3 linked regions of the Mus musculus genome follow. The protein of the gene in region 2 interacts with the protein of the main gene of each other region in a pairwise test. Links are inferred from orthologs where the notes say so. Each region holds a gene or a part of one and is shown on either strand. Other genes may lie near its edges.

The links.
Region 1: the proteins of Ssc5d (region 2) and Sec23ip interact in binary tests that used the Homo sapiens proteins (3 or more experiments, as listed by UniProt). The two-hybrid records come from large-scale screens. The link is inferred for Mus musculus from reciprocal best matches to the Homo sapiens genes SSC5D and SEC23IP.
Region 3: the proteins of Ssc5d (region 2) and Exoc7 interact in binary tests that used the Homo sapiens proteins (3 or more experiments, as listed by UniProt). The two-hybrid records come from large-scale screens. The link is inferred for Mus musculus from reciprocal best matches to the Homo sapiens genes SSC5D and EXOC7.

Annotation. Positions count from the first base shown.
Region 1 is NC_000073.6:128,743,232-128,747,634, forward strand, and holds the start of Sec23ip (SEC23-interacting protein), read left to right. Parts: upstream 1-1,638; 5' UTR 1,639-1,790; coding exon 1,791-1,947; intron 1,948-4,403. UniProt on the Homo sapiens protein: Plays a role in the organization of endoplasmic reticulum exit sites. Specifically binds to phosphatidylinositol 3-phosphate (PI(3)P), phosphatidylinositol 4-phosphate (PI(4)P) and phosphatidylinositol 5-phosphate (PI(5)P).
Region 2 is NC_000073.6:4,924,697-4,929,099, forward strand, and holds the start of Ssc5d (soluble scavenger receptor cysteine-rich domain-containing protein SSC5D precursor), read left to right. Parts: upstream 1-1,258; coding exon 1,259-1,283; intron 1,284-1,793; coding exon 1,794-1,820; intron 1,821-2,277; coding exon 2,278-2,586; intron 2,587-2,855; coding exon 2,856-2,969; intron 2,970-3,199; coding exon 3,200-3,313; intron 3,314-3,688; coding exon 3,689-3,997; intron 3,998-4,403.
Region 3 is NC_000077.6:116,304,383-116,308,785, reverse strand, and holds the start of Exoc7 (exocyst complex component 7), read left to right. Parts: upstream 1-2,051; 5' UTR 2,052-2,112; coding exon 2,113-2,172; intron 2,173-2,332; coding exon 2,333-2,398; intron 2,399-3,737; coding exon 3,738-3,922; intron 3,923-4,103; coding exon 4,104-4,209; intron 4,210-4,403. UniProt on the Homo sapiens protein: Component of the exocyst complex involved in the docking of exocytic vesicles with fusion sites on the plasma membrane.

The sequences.
Region 1 (4,403 bases), about 120 Mb from region 2:
AAAAAACAAGAAGAAGAAGAAGAAGGAGGAGGAGGAGGAGGAGGAGGAGGAGGAGGAGGAGGAGGAGGAGGAGGAGGAGGAGGAGGAGGAGGTGGTGGTCACTCAGTCACTCAGGGCATGCCCTTAAAAGGTATATCTCATTCTGGGCCCTCTTCTGTCCCTTTTCTCATCTTAATTGTTATTTTAGTTTTTTTTCCCCTTCCTGTTATGGTTTAAAATAAAAAAAAATCATATGTTGAAGTTAATTATGCAAAGTGATGGTTTTGGAATTTAGGCCTTTCTCTCTCTCTCTCTCTCTTCTCTCTCTCTCTCTCTTTTTATTCGAGACAGGGTTTCTCTGAATAACCCTGGCTGTCCTGGAACTCACTTTGTAGACCATGCTGGCCTTGATCTCAGAAATCCGCCTGCCTCTGCCTTCCAAGTGCTGGAATTAAAGGTGTGCAACACCACAGCAGGGCTGGTCCTCTGGGATCCCTGCACTCATAAAGAGGTTTGAAGCCCTAGTTCTCAAGTTTCAACTTTAGTTTTTCTTCCTCAGGGAAGCTTTTTCTTCCTTAAGTTTTTCGCTAATGATCTGATGGAGAGAGATACATGCTCGCTCTTCCTAGAATGTTTAGATCTCTGTCCCCAGATGATGTCAGTGTTCCAGGAAACACACTTAAGGAAAGCCTGCCATTTATATTATTTTGTGTTTAGTTGATTGTTTTGCCAGATTGTAAACCCAAAAAGGAAGGATTTCAGGTCTGTTTCATATATCACTCTCTGGTATATGGTTCTCAGCCTTGCTTCTTTATGATAAAGAGAATTTTCTTGACCAACTTCTAGTCTAGCATGGCTTTTAGCAGTTTGAGGCCATGTTATCTATGACTCACCAGAAGTTTCCCCATTACTAAGCTCTGTACTTCTTGGCCCCGTTGAAATGCTTGTCGAGGTAAACTCAACACTGCCAGAATTTAATGTTTTTATTCCAGCCAAAACCTGGTAGTAGGCAGATAGGTCCCCAAACCCTAAATTACAGCAGTAACTCTAGAATGTTGCAATTATACATCTTTTCTCTGCCCCTTTGAAACATAAATCGTCTACCACTTGGAACTGCCTTACCAAAGGCACTTTTTGTTGATGCACACATTCAAGGAGATAGTAGCCTGGAGTGGTGGCACACTCCTTTTAAGCTCTTGGGAAGAAGAGGCAGACAGACCTCTTGAGAATTCCAGGCAACATCATGAAAACGTAACTGAAAAAAAAAAAGGAACCCAGCCGATAATAATTCTTACTTCCAATTCTTATGACCGCCTGTCATAAAGATATAAGAATTGCAGTGTGTGGTGGTATTAATCTCAGAAATGGAAGAGCTGAGGCAGGAGGATAAAAAGTCAGTCTGGGCAGCATAGAGAGATCCTGCCTCGCAAGCAAGCAAATAAACCAACCAACCAAAAACAGATACTCCATGAGAAACTCAGGGCGTCCAGGACATCTCAGAATCTGCGACTTCGAGCGTCAATTAACGCTAGGATTCATCGGCCACACCTCTCTATTCTATGCTGTGATTCCAGAGGCTGACCCAGTCTCGCGAGACCGAGGCTGTCACGTGATAGGCTTGGGTCTGAAGCCGATTCCACCTTATTGATTTTGGGCGGCGTCAAATTCCGGAAGAAAACCGATCCCGGAGTCGCTGGCCTGTGGCACCTGTGCGCAAGTGCGGAAGTGCGGTGGCATCCTCGCTAACCGGTTTCCGGTCTGTGTGCAGCACCGGGCTCGCAGAGCCACGTAACGGCCGGGGGTCTGCAGCCATGGCGGATAGGAAGGCTAACGGCGGCGGAGCGTCCGCCTCCTCGTCAGGCACTAACTTACTCTTCTCCTCCTCGGCCACGGAGTTCAGCTTCAACGTGCCCTTCATCCCCGTCACGCAGGCCGCCGCCTCCCCGGCTTCCCTGCTCTTACCCGGAGGTAGTGAGCCGAGGGCGCTTGGGGGCCAGTGTCTGTCCCGGGAGGCGGGTGGGACAGGAGTGTCGCCTGCTCTGAGTCGCTTGCCAGGGTCAGCAGTGACCAGCTTTCAGAGGGCCAGGGACTGGAGGATCCTGGAGGAGGGGCTCCGGTGATGAGGCTTGGAACTCCTGTCATTGCGCAACTGTTTGTTGAACACCCACTGGTGTGCTGGTGCTGGCAGAAAACGCAGCTAAATTAGACAGTTACCCTTTGCTAGAATCCGAAAGCTGCTCTCTTACTGGGAAACACCGGTGATAGGGTAGGACATCACCTAGGAGACAGTAAGTTTCTCCAGAGGAGACAATGCCTCTCTTGTAGAGGACTATACACTCTCTCCTAGTAAAAGCCCCCCCGTTACACTTTTGATTAAGCTCTGTGTATATCTGGGAAGGCTGATTTCTCTCTCTCTCTCTCTCTCTCTCTCTCTCTCTCTCTCTCTCTCTCTCTCTCGTTTGTCTCTGTCTCTCTTTCTCGTCTGTCTCTCTCTGGTGGTTTGGAGCACAGACTGTGTTCAGACCCGGCACTGCCATTAACTTGCTGTGTGGCCTCAGTCATGACATTTTACCTGTCTGCTTAGATTTCATGTTTTCAGCTCCTATCCCTGGGTTTGAGAGCAAGGTCTCTCTGTGTAGTACTGACTGTCCTAGAACTCACTGTGTAGATCAGGCTGGCCTCAAACTTAAAGGATCCACCTGCCTCTGCCTCTCTGCCTCTGAGTGCTGGGATTAAAGGCATTCGTCACTATACCCTGTCTCATTTTTGTAGAGTTCTATATCTAGTGTCCCACACGTATTGTTGTGTAAATACTTGTGAGCTAAGTACTCTGCCCCTCCATGTGGACTGTGAACTTCTTACCTCTTTTCATTTTCAGGGTCCTGTTTTTTAGTGCCTAGCACACAGGTGCTTGTTAGGTGCTGAGCTTTCCCCACCAAATAATTCCTCCTTGGAGGACTAAGGGGAGTTTCCCGCAGAAGGGAAGAAAGACAACTGAAAGCATGTGTATCTGCAGTGTCTCCTTTCTGTCATGTTTCTTCTCGGTGCTCGTAACTGTCTGACAGGTACATATGCCCGCTTACCCTACCAGGCCAGGGTGTAAGCTTTGTCAAAGCAGGGGCTGGCCCGATGCCTGGAATGCAGACTACAGAATTTCTAGTGGGAGTTTGCTGAGCGACTGGGGGGATGGATCCACGAGTGCCCCTGCCTCATGGAAGCGGTGTGACTGAAAGGTTCAGTGATGCTTTCTTTGGTGAAGAATTGTGGCTGGACCAGAGTACTGTGGAAGGGTCCAGGAATCAGTAAGGTCGTGCCTTGGGTTTTTCAGATTGTTCTCGGCCTCCAGAGTGGTGTTTGATGCACGCTCGTTTTCCTTGATGTATGATATTTAATTTGTGTGTTATTGTCGGTGCTTGACATTTCTATTCTCTTCTTCATTTTCTTGTTAATTTTCTGTTCATTACTGTTTTTCTGCCTGTGTGTCTATGTGGGGGTGTGGGACCCCCTGGAACTGGAAGTTACAGACAGTTGTGAGCCGCCATGTGGGTGCTGGGAATTGAATCCAGGTCCTCTGGAAGAGCAGCCAGTGGTCTTAACCATTGAGCCATCTCTCCAGCTCAACATTTCTGTTTTCAGCTTTAAGATAAGTATATCAGTCTTTAAGGTTTATTCATTTATTAATTACTTTTTGAGACATGGTGTCATTTTGTAGCCCAGGGTAACCCAGAACTTGTGGCAGACCTCTTGTCTTAGTCCCCAGGTGCTGAGACTACAGGCATAAGCCACCACTCCCAGCTTTATATTTTAAAAGCTTCTTAAAAGTTTATTTTTACTATTTTAAAAAATGTGTACTTGGGTATGTCTATCTTTGTGTCCATATACATGAATGTAGTTGCTCTCAGAGGCCAGAGACTTTGACCGTGCCTGGAGCTGGAGTTACAGGTGGGTGTGAGCACCTGAGTCCAGTGCTGGGAGACAAATTAGGGCCATCTTTAAGAGCCATGCTCTGTAAGAGCAGCACAAGCTCGCAATGACTGAGATAACTCTCCAACCCCATCTTGAAAACTCTTTGTTTCTTAGATTTAAACTTATTTTTTGTGAGAGCACAAAAGGTTTTAGAACTACCATTCTGTAACAAGCCTGTCTGTCTGTCTGTCTGTCTTCCTTCCTTCCTTCCTTCCTTTCTTCCTTTCTTCCTTTCTTATCAGGATCTCTCTGTTATGTAGTAGCTCTGGCTGTCCTGGAACTCTTTGTGTAAACCAGGCTGATCTTGAACTTAGAGTGATCCACCTTCCTCTGCCTCCTGAGTGTATAACAAGCATTCTCTACACTTAAAGATGGCTTGATTAGAGATCTCTTGAGAGCATTTCTGGAGCCAGAGGAGACTCCATCTCCTTGAAAGCAGCAGTTAATCACATCTGTGG
Region 2 (4,403 bases):
TTGCCTCACCCCCACTGCCCCAGTCTGTATGCACTGAAAAACGTCGGGTTCTGGGTCTACAAAGCCCCTGCTGCCTGTGTTTGAGGTCTGGAAGGGAGATTTGAGGAAAGAGAGAGAGAGAGAGAGAGAGAGAGAGAGAGAGAGAGAGAGAGAGAGAGAGAGAGAGAGAGAGAGACTAAAAGTTAGAGTCTGTGACAGGGAACTCCCAAAGGGGACAGATCTTCTGGGAGTGGGTGGGGCCAGGAGCACAGTGTCTCCAAGCCCATCTGGTTTTTTACACTGTTTGTTAATAAACCCTGAAACTTCTGTGTGCCTGTCTCCTGTCTGATGCATTTTCCAGCTGCTCTCTCCAGACTCCCTCCTTCTGTCTGGCTCCTCCTCTCCGAAGAAGTTGACATTAATTGCTAGGGAAGTGTGTGTGTTGGGGGGGGGGGGGGGGCGCTGGGAAGAGGAGAAGCAGTGAGCTCACAGCGGCAGCCAGTCTTTGCCAGGCCTTCTGAGTCATGCTCCCCATTACCAAAGTTTTCCCCCTCACAGCTGCCTGGTGTGTGTGTGTGTGTGTGTGTGTGTGTGTGTGTGTGTGTACCCCCTCCAGACCGAAGCCTTGACCCCTCAGTCTCTCTACCCTCCATACCTTTGTTCTGGGAACTGGTAATAAGTTCAGACACTCTTTTCTCGAATCGGCACTGGGAGCTTCCCATCCAGATTTACCACAGTGGGTGACAAATGGACAGGAGTTTTTCAGTTTCTTTTCCTGATCTAGGAAGTCCCTCCTAGTATCTGGCTTCAGGCCCTCATGCTACTGCAGGATTCCCCAAAATCTGTCCACTCCCAGCTGCACTTACTTGCCTGGCTGGACAATAAGAGGAGGCAGAAGGGTGTGCCCTCAGCCCTGTCCCCCAGACACCCAGGCCTGCCCCTTCCCAGAGCTGCCATCCCCATAAGCATCTCTGAGCACGTGGCCCTCTGGAGCCTGGCTGGCCGCCTCCCTCCAGTGTGGGTGTTTGCACTTGAACACCTCCCTTCTGCCTGCCCCCCGCACCCCCCCCTCCAGCCTCAGCTGTGGCCAGCCCCCTCCCCCTCCTGTCCCCTGCTGCATCCCTGCAGCCTCTCTCCCTCCTGGCAGAGCCTTCAGCCCAGCCTGCTCCTAGCTGTCCAGGGCTCCTCAGCAGCTGCTTCCCTCCCTGGCTGCCTCCTCCTCCCCTCTCCTGCCCTCCTTCCCCTTTCACCCCATCCCCTGCCCCTGGACTCTGCGAACATGAGGGGCTTGGCCTGCCTCCTTGGTGAGTGATCCATTTCCTTGGGGGGGGGGGTAAGCACCTTAGGGGCCTGGACCCTTACCTCTGACCCAGTTAGCTTCTCCAGTTTAGGGGCTCATACTTGAGGGAGCCTGTTCTGGTCCCTGGTGCAGTGTGATATCCTGACATCTGGCTGGCCCCTCTAATCCCTGAGGGACCCAGCCTTCTGCACGTCCTGCCTAGCAGCTCAAGTGACCTGCCCTTTGTTGCCCTGTCATGTACTCTGTAGCGCTATCACTCCCACCATTCAATCTGGTCCCCAGTCCTGTTTTCAAGGGTCAGGCATCTGGGGCCCCACCCACCCCAGGGACCTGTAACTTATCCCAGCCTCCTCCCAAAGTCCATTCCAGCAGTGGGGTTTCTGACTCAGAGGTGTGAGGAATCTGACTGTGAATGGGTGCTTCCCACTGTACTGAGGCTGGGAGCCTGCACTGGGGAAAGGACCCCTCCCCTCTGATTTATCCTTCACTCTGTCCCCTCCAACCTCCTTTGCAGCAATGCTGGTGGGGATCCAGGCTATAGGTAAGTGTCCTGATTCTACACTTGGCCTCACCCCGCTCCAACTCCCCCCCTCTCCTTCTGGTCTCTGCTACCCCAATTCCACTCCCCAGACATTGCTGCCATCCAACAGGGACAATGAGTCTTCTCTAGAGTTAGCTGCACGCTGACCTATGGGAGAGGACCAAAGTTATGAGGCCAGTGATGGGGAGAGGAGTGGAAAGGTTATTTGACCCCCTTGTGGGGCAGAAGGACCGGGGATGCCTGAATTCCCTGGTTCACAGTGTCCTTCCACACAGCCCCCAGCATCTCTGAGACATTCCTCTCATTGCACCTGGGAGTCTGGGACCAGGGTCCAGCCTCCAGGGTAGCTGGCTTCCTGGTGGTAGCTTGTAAGGTAGTCCCCCTGCCTTGGTGTTACCGTAGACCCCCAGCCAACAGTACTCCTGTGTGGGGTCACAGCTTTTCCTTCATCCCTCAGAGCGACTCCGCCTGGCTGATGGTCCTCATGGCTGCGCAGGACGCCTGGAGGTCTGGCACAGCGGGCGCTGGGGCACCGTGTGTGATGACGGATGGGACCTTCGGGATGCTGAAGTGGCCTGCCGTGTGTTAGGCTGCGGAGGGGCGCTGGCAGCCCCTGGGGGTGCCTTCTTCGGGGAGGGCACTGGGCCTGTATGGCTCAGTGAACTGAACTGTCGGGGCAATGAGGGTCAGCTGGGTATCTGTCCCCACCGGGGCTGGAAGGCCCATATCTGCTCTCATGAGGAGGACGCAGGCGTCGTCTGTGTAGGTAAAAAGATTCAAATTCCTCTTATGGTTATGGCCCCAGGAACCCTGCCCTTAGTTCCTGCAGATCTGAGTTGTCTAGAAGCTAAGCGGTAACCAACTCCAGATCCCCATAAGACCAGGTGCTCCCCTCCCAAGGACTCCCAGCTTATGAGCACTTATTTCTGAGCCACAGGAAATTCAGGCATCCCAGCTCCTCCTGTCCCAGGGGTCAAATGACCTTTCTACTCCTCCCCCCATCACTGGTCTCATAACTTTGGTCCTCTCCCATAGGTCAGCGTGCAGCTAACTCTAGAGAAGATTCAATGTCCCTGCTGGATGGGGATCCATGGCTGGCACTGTCTGGGGAGCTAAGCCCCAGCTCAGAGGAGCCCCCTATAACTCACGGTGAGCACAAAGGACAGGCCTCCCATCCCGCACCCTGGTCAGACTCAGCTATGGGGGAAGGTTATCCTGCAAACGTTTTTCTCCGGCAAGCTAGTCTCCTTCATTATCCAGAAATCCTCTGTCCAGAAATCTTTCAAACCCTCAGAAAAGAATCCCGAGACAGATGCCAAGGAGTAGGGAAGAGTGACCAGCTGAGCTCCTGACTTCCTGGTCACGTGTCACTTTCCTAGCTCCCCAACCAGCAGCAAGCTCCCAGAATGGCCCCCGGAAGAAGAACCCCCGGCCACCCAAGCAGACCAAGTCCACCCGAGCCCCTGTACTGACAAATGGAGCTCCCCACCAAGGTAAGGCTCTACATTTCCCTGTCTTCCTGATCTGTGTGCTACGAGACCCTAGACCCTGCCAAACTGAGGACCCTAGACCTCCATTCAGCCTGTGACTCTCTAAGGAGACCGGCGTTCACAGTGCCCCTTCAGATCCAGTCAGGGCTGGCCACCTCCTCTTCTTTATCCTCCCTCTATGAGACCCAGGGGGGTGGCCGGTCTCTTTTCTGAATTAGGTACTTGGCAGACAAATCTCAGTCTTCTGCTCTTCCTGGGCCTCAGTTTCCCCAGTTGTAAACAAACAGGAAGCTGCCCCCTCCAAGCTGACATTAGACTAAGCCTTTTACAGTCTCTCATCTTCCCTGGTTGTATTCCTCTCCCCCCACCCCTCCCCAGAGCGGCTGCGACTGGTCTCAGGTCCCCACGGATGTGCCGGCCGCCTGGAAGTCTGGCACGGTGGACGTTGGGGCACTGTCTGTGATGATGGATGGGACCTCCGAGATGCAGCGGTGGCCTGCAGGGAGCTGGGATGTGGGGGAGCGCTGGCCGCCCCTGGGGGTGCCAGATTTGGACCTGGTGAGGGACCTGTGTGGATGGATGACGTGGGGTGTGGAGGAGGAGAGGAGGCCCTCCGAGACTGTCCCCGAAGCCCCTGGGGCCGGAGCAACTGTGACCACACCGAGGATGCAGGGCTGGTCTGCACCGGTATGTATGTATGTATGTATGTATGTATGTATGTATGTATGTATGTGTGTGTGTGTGTGTGTGTGTATATATATATATATATATATATATATATATATATATATATACATACATACATACATACATATATGTATGGGCAGCTACCCGCTCTTCAGATCTCAGCTCCTCCCTCCCCCAGGAAGCAGTAAAAGGCCTAGCCTCGGGTCTGTCTCTCTACACATTCTCTGGGAGAGGCTTAGCCTGCTGGGCCTCAGCTTTCTTGAGGGAGCAACTAGAAACTGGGACCAAGAGTAAGGGGCCATGGAAGGGCACTTGGGTATTTCCTCCTCCATTGCTCCTCTCCTTCTTCTCCCTCACTCCCTGTCCCTCTTGCCTTCCTCCAGCCTTCTATTCCCTGTCAGCGCCC
Region 3 (4,403 bases), on a different chromosome or scaffold from region 2:
GCCGGGCAGAACATTGTATACATAATAGATAAAACTTTTTAAAAAAAGAAAACGATTTAAGGTATATGTGCTTCAGATTTCTTTCCCTTATCCACTTGACACAAACCCTCTACAGAACTTTGAACTCACTGAGACAGGACAAATGGACTAGACATTGTGAATATAACTCTTACCCCGACAGTTCTCACAATTAGTATATAGTTTACTGATGTTAGAGATAGAGCCATTCTTGGGCTAAAAGGGGAAGAAGTTGGGATGATTAAACCCACACATATTGCATCAAATGCCTATGTAATTGTGCCCTGCATTTTCAGTTGTTAATTGCTATGCTGGCAGGATATTTAATTACTGTCATTTCTATGGCCTATTACCTGCCTTTTTTTTAAAGATTGATTTATTTATTATATGTGAGTACACTGTAACTGTCACCAGAAGAGGGAGTCAGATCTTGTTAGGGATGGTTGTGAGCCACCATGTAGTTCCTGGGATTTGAACTCAGGATCTTCAGACGAGCAGTTGGTGCTCTTAACCACTGAGCCAGCTCCCAAGCCCGATATTACCTGCTTTCTATATGTAAGTGTTTGTCCTTCCTTGCCTGCCACAAAGGTGTTTCTCTGAGATTAGCCTGTTAAAAAGAAAGCTGCCTGGTGAAGGTCAAAAGCTGCCAAAGCCAAAAGACAACACAGAAATATGGACCGGGCGTTGTCCTGCTGCTGATTGGCTCAGACTAGGTGTTGTCCTGCTGCTGATTGGCTCAGACTAGGCGTTGTCCGTTGCTGATTGGCTCAGATTGGATGAGTAAGGCGTGTGGCCTTTGAGGACTAGAGTTGACTGTTGGAGTCGGGGCAGGAGGAGAGAGAGACAGAAGCAGAACTGAGCAGGACAGGGAGGTTGAGCAGAGAGAACGCCAGGGACTCGTAGCAGGGAAGTCGCGTTGAGTCTGGAGGGTTAGCTGAGGGACTGCCCCAGCAAACAGGCAAACAGCCTTATACTATACAGATGTCTCTGTGTCTCTGTTATTAAACCCACGTGGGATCCCACAAGTTCTGAAGTATCCATTGTAAGCCACTCTGTGTGGAATCCAGTCTCCAGACTTGAACCGTTAAGATATGATCTGCAAAAACAAATTTGTCTCCTCAGTCAGCGCTTTTATCCTAAATTAGGGTTTAGCTAACTGGAAAGATGGCTCAGCAGTTAAGAGCTCTTTCTTACTCTTCCAGGAAGCCTGAGTTAGGGTTAGGGTTCCCAGAACCCACATGACAGACAGCTCACTACTGTAATGTCAGCTCCAGAGGGATCAGATAACCTTCTGGTCTTCCAGGGCACCTGGCATGCAAGTGACGGCACAGACATACATACCCATGGGCGAAACATCTATCTATACACCATGTTAAAATCCACAAATAAATCATGAGCTGGTGAAATAGCTCAGCAGGTTAAGGCATTTGCCACAAAACCTGGCACCCGAATTCAATCCCTCTGGGTCCTACACATGGGAGGGAGAGAACTGTAAACCCTATATACCACTCCGTGCCAGCCTCCACCTCCTGCCTTCCGCCACCGCCCTGCTTTTTCTTGGGTGAGCTGGGTTTGGCAGAGCACACCTTTCTTTAATCCAGCCCACGGTAGGCAGAAGTCAGCCTGGTCTACATAACCTATTCCAGAGCAGCCAAAACGATCTAAAAAAAATTCAGGTATAATGTTGGTTTGCTTGATTTTTGGTTTGGAGACCAAGTCTGACTCTGTAGCCTAGGCTAGCCTGGAATTTACTATGTGATCCAAACTGGCTTCGAACTCGTGAATGGCCTCCTGCTTCAGTCTCCCAGCAAGGGGCTGTCTTTCAAAGGAGCGAGCAAACCAGCCTCTGGCTACGAGGAAAGACCCACGTATGCCTCAGGTGAGCGGCTCTTCCAGCCACATTCAAGATGGCGTCGACCCGCAGCCCGCTCGCGAGCTCCGGCAGGAACACACTTCCGCCTGCCACTCCCAACATGGCGCCCCCGAAAGCGTCCGGGGGCGGGGCCGAGGGAGGAAGTGGGCGTGACAGGGACGGAAGCCGAGCAGGGTTTGGAGCTAAAACAGCGGGGAGTGGGGACAGCGCTGTCCGCTGCTATGATTCCCCCGCAGGAGGCTTCCGCCCGGCGGCGGGAGATCGAGGACAAACTGAAGCAGGTGACGCTGGGGAGAAAGTGAAGGAAAGGCGCTCAGGGGCATCGAACCGGGGTGGAAGGGGAGATAGGGTTAGGCGTAGGCCGTGGTGCTGGGTGCTGGGTGCTGGTGGTCGCCTTTCACCATCGGCTTGTGGTGATGTCCTCCTCTCTGCCCCTCGCAGGAGGAGGAGACGCTGTCGTTTATCCGAGACAGCCTGGAGAAGAGCGACCAGCTCACTAGGAACATGGTGAGTAGCCTTTCAGCTGGGAGGCTGCCGCCAGGCTCCTGAGCCCCAGAGGAGGGGCGTGTGATGGACGTGTCCTGCGCCTGTCCAGGGACTCCAGCGTGGGTAGTAAACAGTGGGCATATCTTGCAGCGATGGGTATCTCTGCACCCCAGTTTCCACCCCATCACCGAGGAAACCGCTGCCCTATACCTGTTACTGTCTGTCCTTCTGCAAACATTTCGTGATATCCTGTACATGGCCTGGTACTGGCCCCGTGTCATTGTCAAATTCAAGCGAGGCGAGGCAGCGAAGTCACAGGGGCTTTGGAAGCAAAACCATCTCAGAGAGTTAATGCGTCTTAGATCTACCCAATGTCCTACAGCTTACTATGTGGTTCCTGGTGGTAGGCCTTGAGTTATGGTTAATTTACCTGGTAAAGCAGACAATGTCAGCCTCCCAGTGTGTCCGTGGAGGAAGTCTATGCATGCTTCCCAGTGTCTGGTATACAGTAAGATGCTTTAAAAGTGCTTGCATTTGTATTTACACAGTAATAAAATACTTGTTGAATGAGATTTGCCCTTAGGGAAAGAGGTTGGCTGTTTGTTTGAGGTAACAGTAATATATTTGCAACTATTTTGGAGGAAGCTACTTTCTGTTCAGTCTAGGAAAACTTCAGAGAGAACAGAAATTGAGATTTGACTTTCAAGGGTAGAAAGGAATCTATCCTGAGGTGATTGAAAAAAAAAATTTATTATGTATAGTGTTCTGGTTGTATGTATGGCCATATGCCAGAAGAGGGCACTAGATCTCATTATAGATGGTTGTGGTTGAGCCGCTATGTGGTGCTGGGAATTGAACTCAGGACTTCCGAAGAGCAGCCAGTGTTCTTAACTGCTGAGCTGGCTCTCCAGCCTGATTATCTCTTTTTGCAAATAAGCAAATTTATTTTATGTGCATGAGTGTTTGCATGTGTGTATGTGTCCCACAAATGAGCAGTGCCTGCAGAGGTCAGAAGAGGCTGTCATATCCTGTGGAATTGGAGTTACAGGCAGTCAGTTGTAAGCTGGCAGATGTGCGTGCTGAGAACTCAGTACCAGTCCTCTGCAAGAGCAGAGTCATCTCTCCAGCTCCTTGAAGGAAGAATTCGCTTAATGTTCCTCTTGCCGTCAGATGAACTTTCAACCAGTTTATGGTGAGCCGTGTACCAGACTAGGAGTGCAGTTGTAGCAAACAAGTCGACTATGTTCCTTCCTATGGGTAGCAGTGTATCGTCTAGAAAACCAAGAAAAGACAAGAAATGTCTGTGAGTATTTCCAGGACAGCCCTGGGAGCCATGAGCCAGAGGAGTTCCCCCCCACAGGTGTCCATCCTGTCGTCCTTTGAGAGCCGACTCATGAAGCTGGAGAACTCTATCATCCCTGTGCACAAGCAGACAGAGAACCTACAGAGGCTGCAGGAGAACGTGGAGAAGACGTTATCCTGCCTGGACCACGTTATCAGCTACTACCACGTAGCCAGCGACACGGAGAAGATCATCCGAGAGGGGTGAGTTCCATGCAGAGCTCTGCTCACATAACTAATGTCTCCTGGACCCATGGAGCCAAGTAAAACCCATGTGAGCGTGGAGCCCCTTATCTGCGTTCTCTTCTTCTCCCGCAGACCGTGGCCATAGTCTGTCTATGTTATCCCTGCCCTCCAAGGCTAAGCCAGCTTTTCTCTTTCCCAGCCCCACAGGTAGGCTGGAAGAGTACCTGGGAAGTATGGCCAAAATCCAGAAGGCTGTGGAGTATTTTCAGGACAATAGCCCAGACAGCCCAGAACTCAACAAAGTGGTAAGAAACGTATAGGTTAGCGTGAGACGACGGACAGATGGACATCAGTCCCTGTCTCGGTCTCATGAGGGACATGTGACAGTTTAAGGAAGTCTGTAGAAGCCAGGTGTGGTGGCCCAGGCCTAGAACTTGTGAGTTTGAAGCCAGCCTGGGATATGTGGTATTCCAGACTAGCCTGGGTTATGTAGTGACAC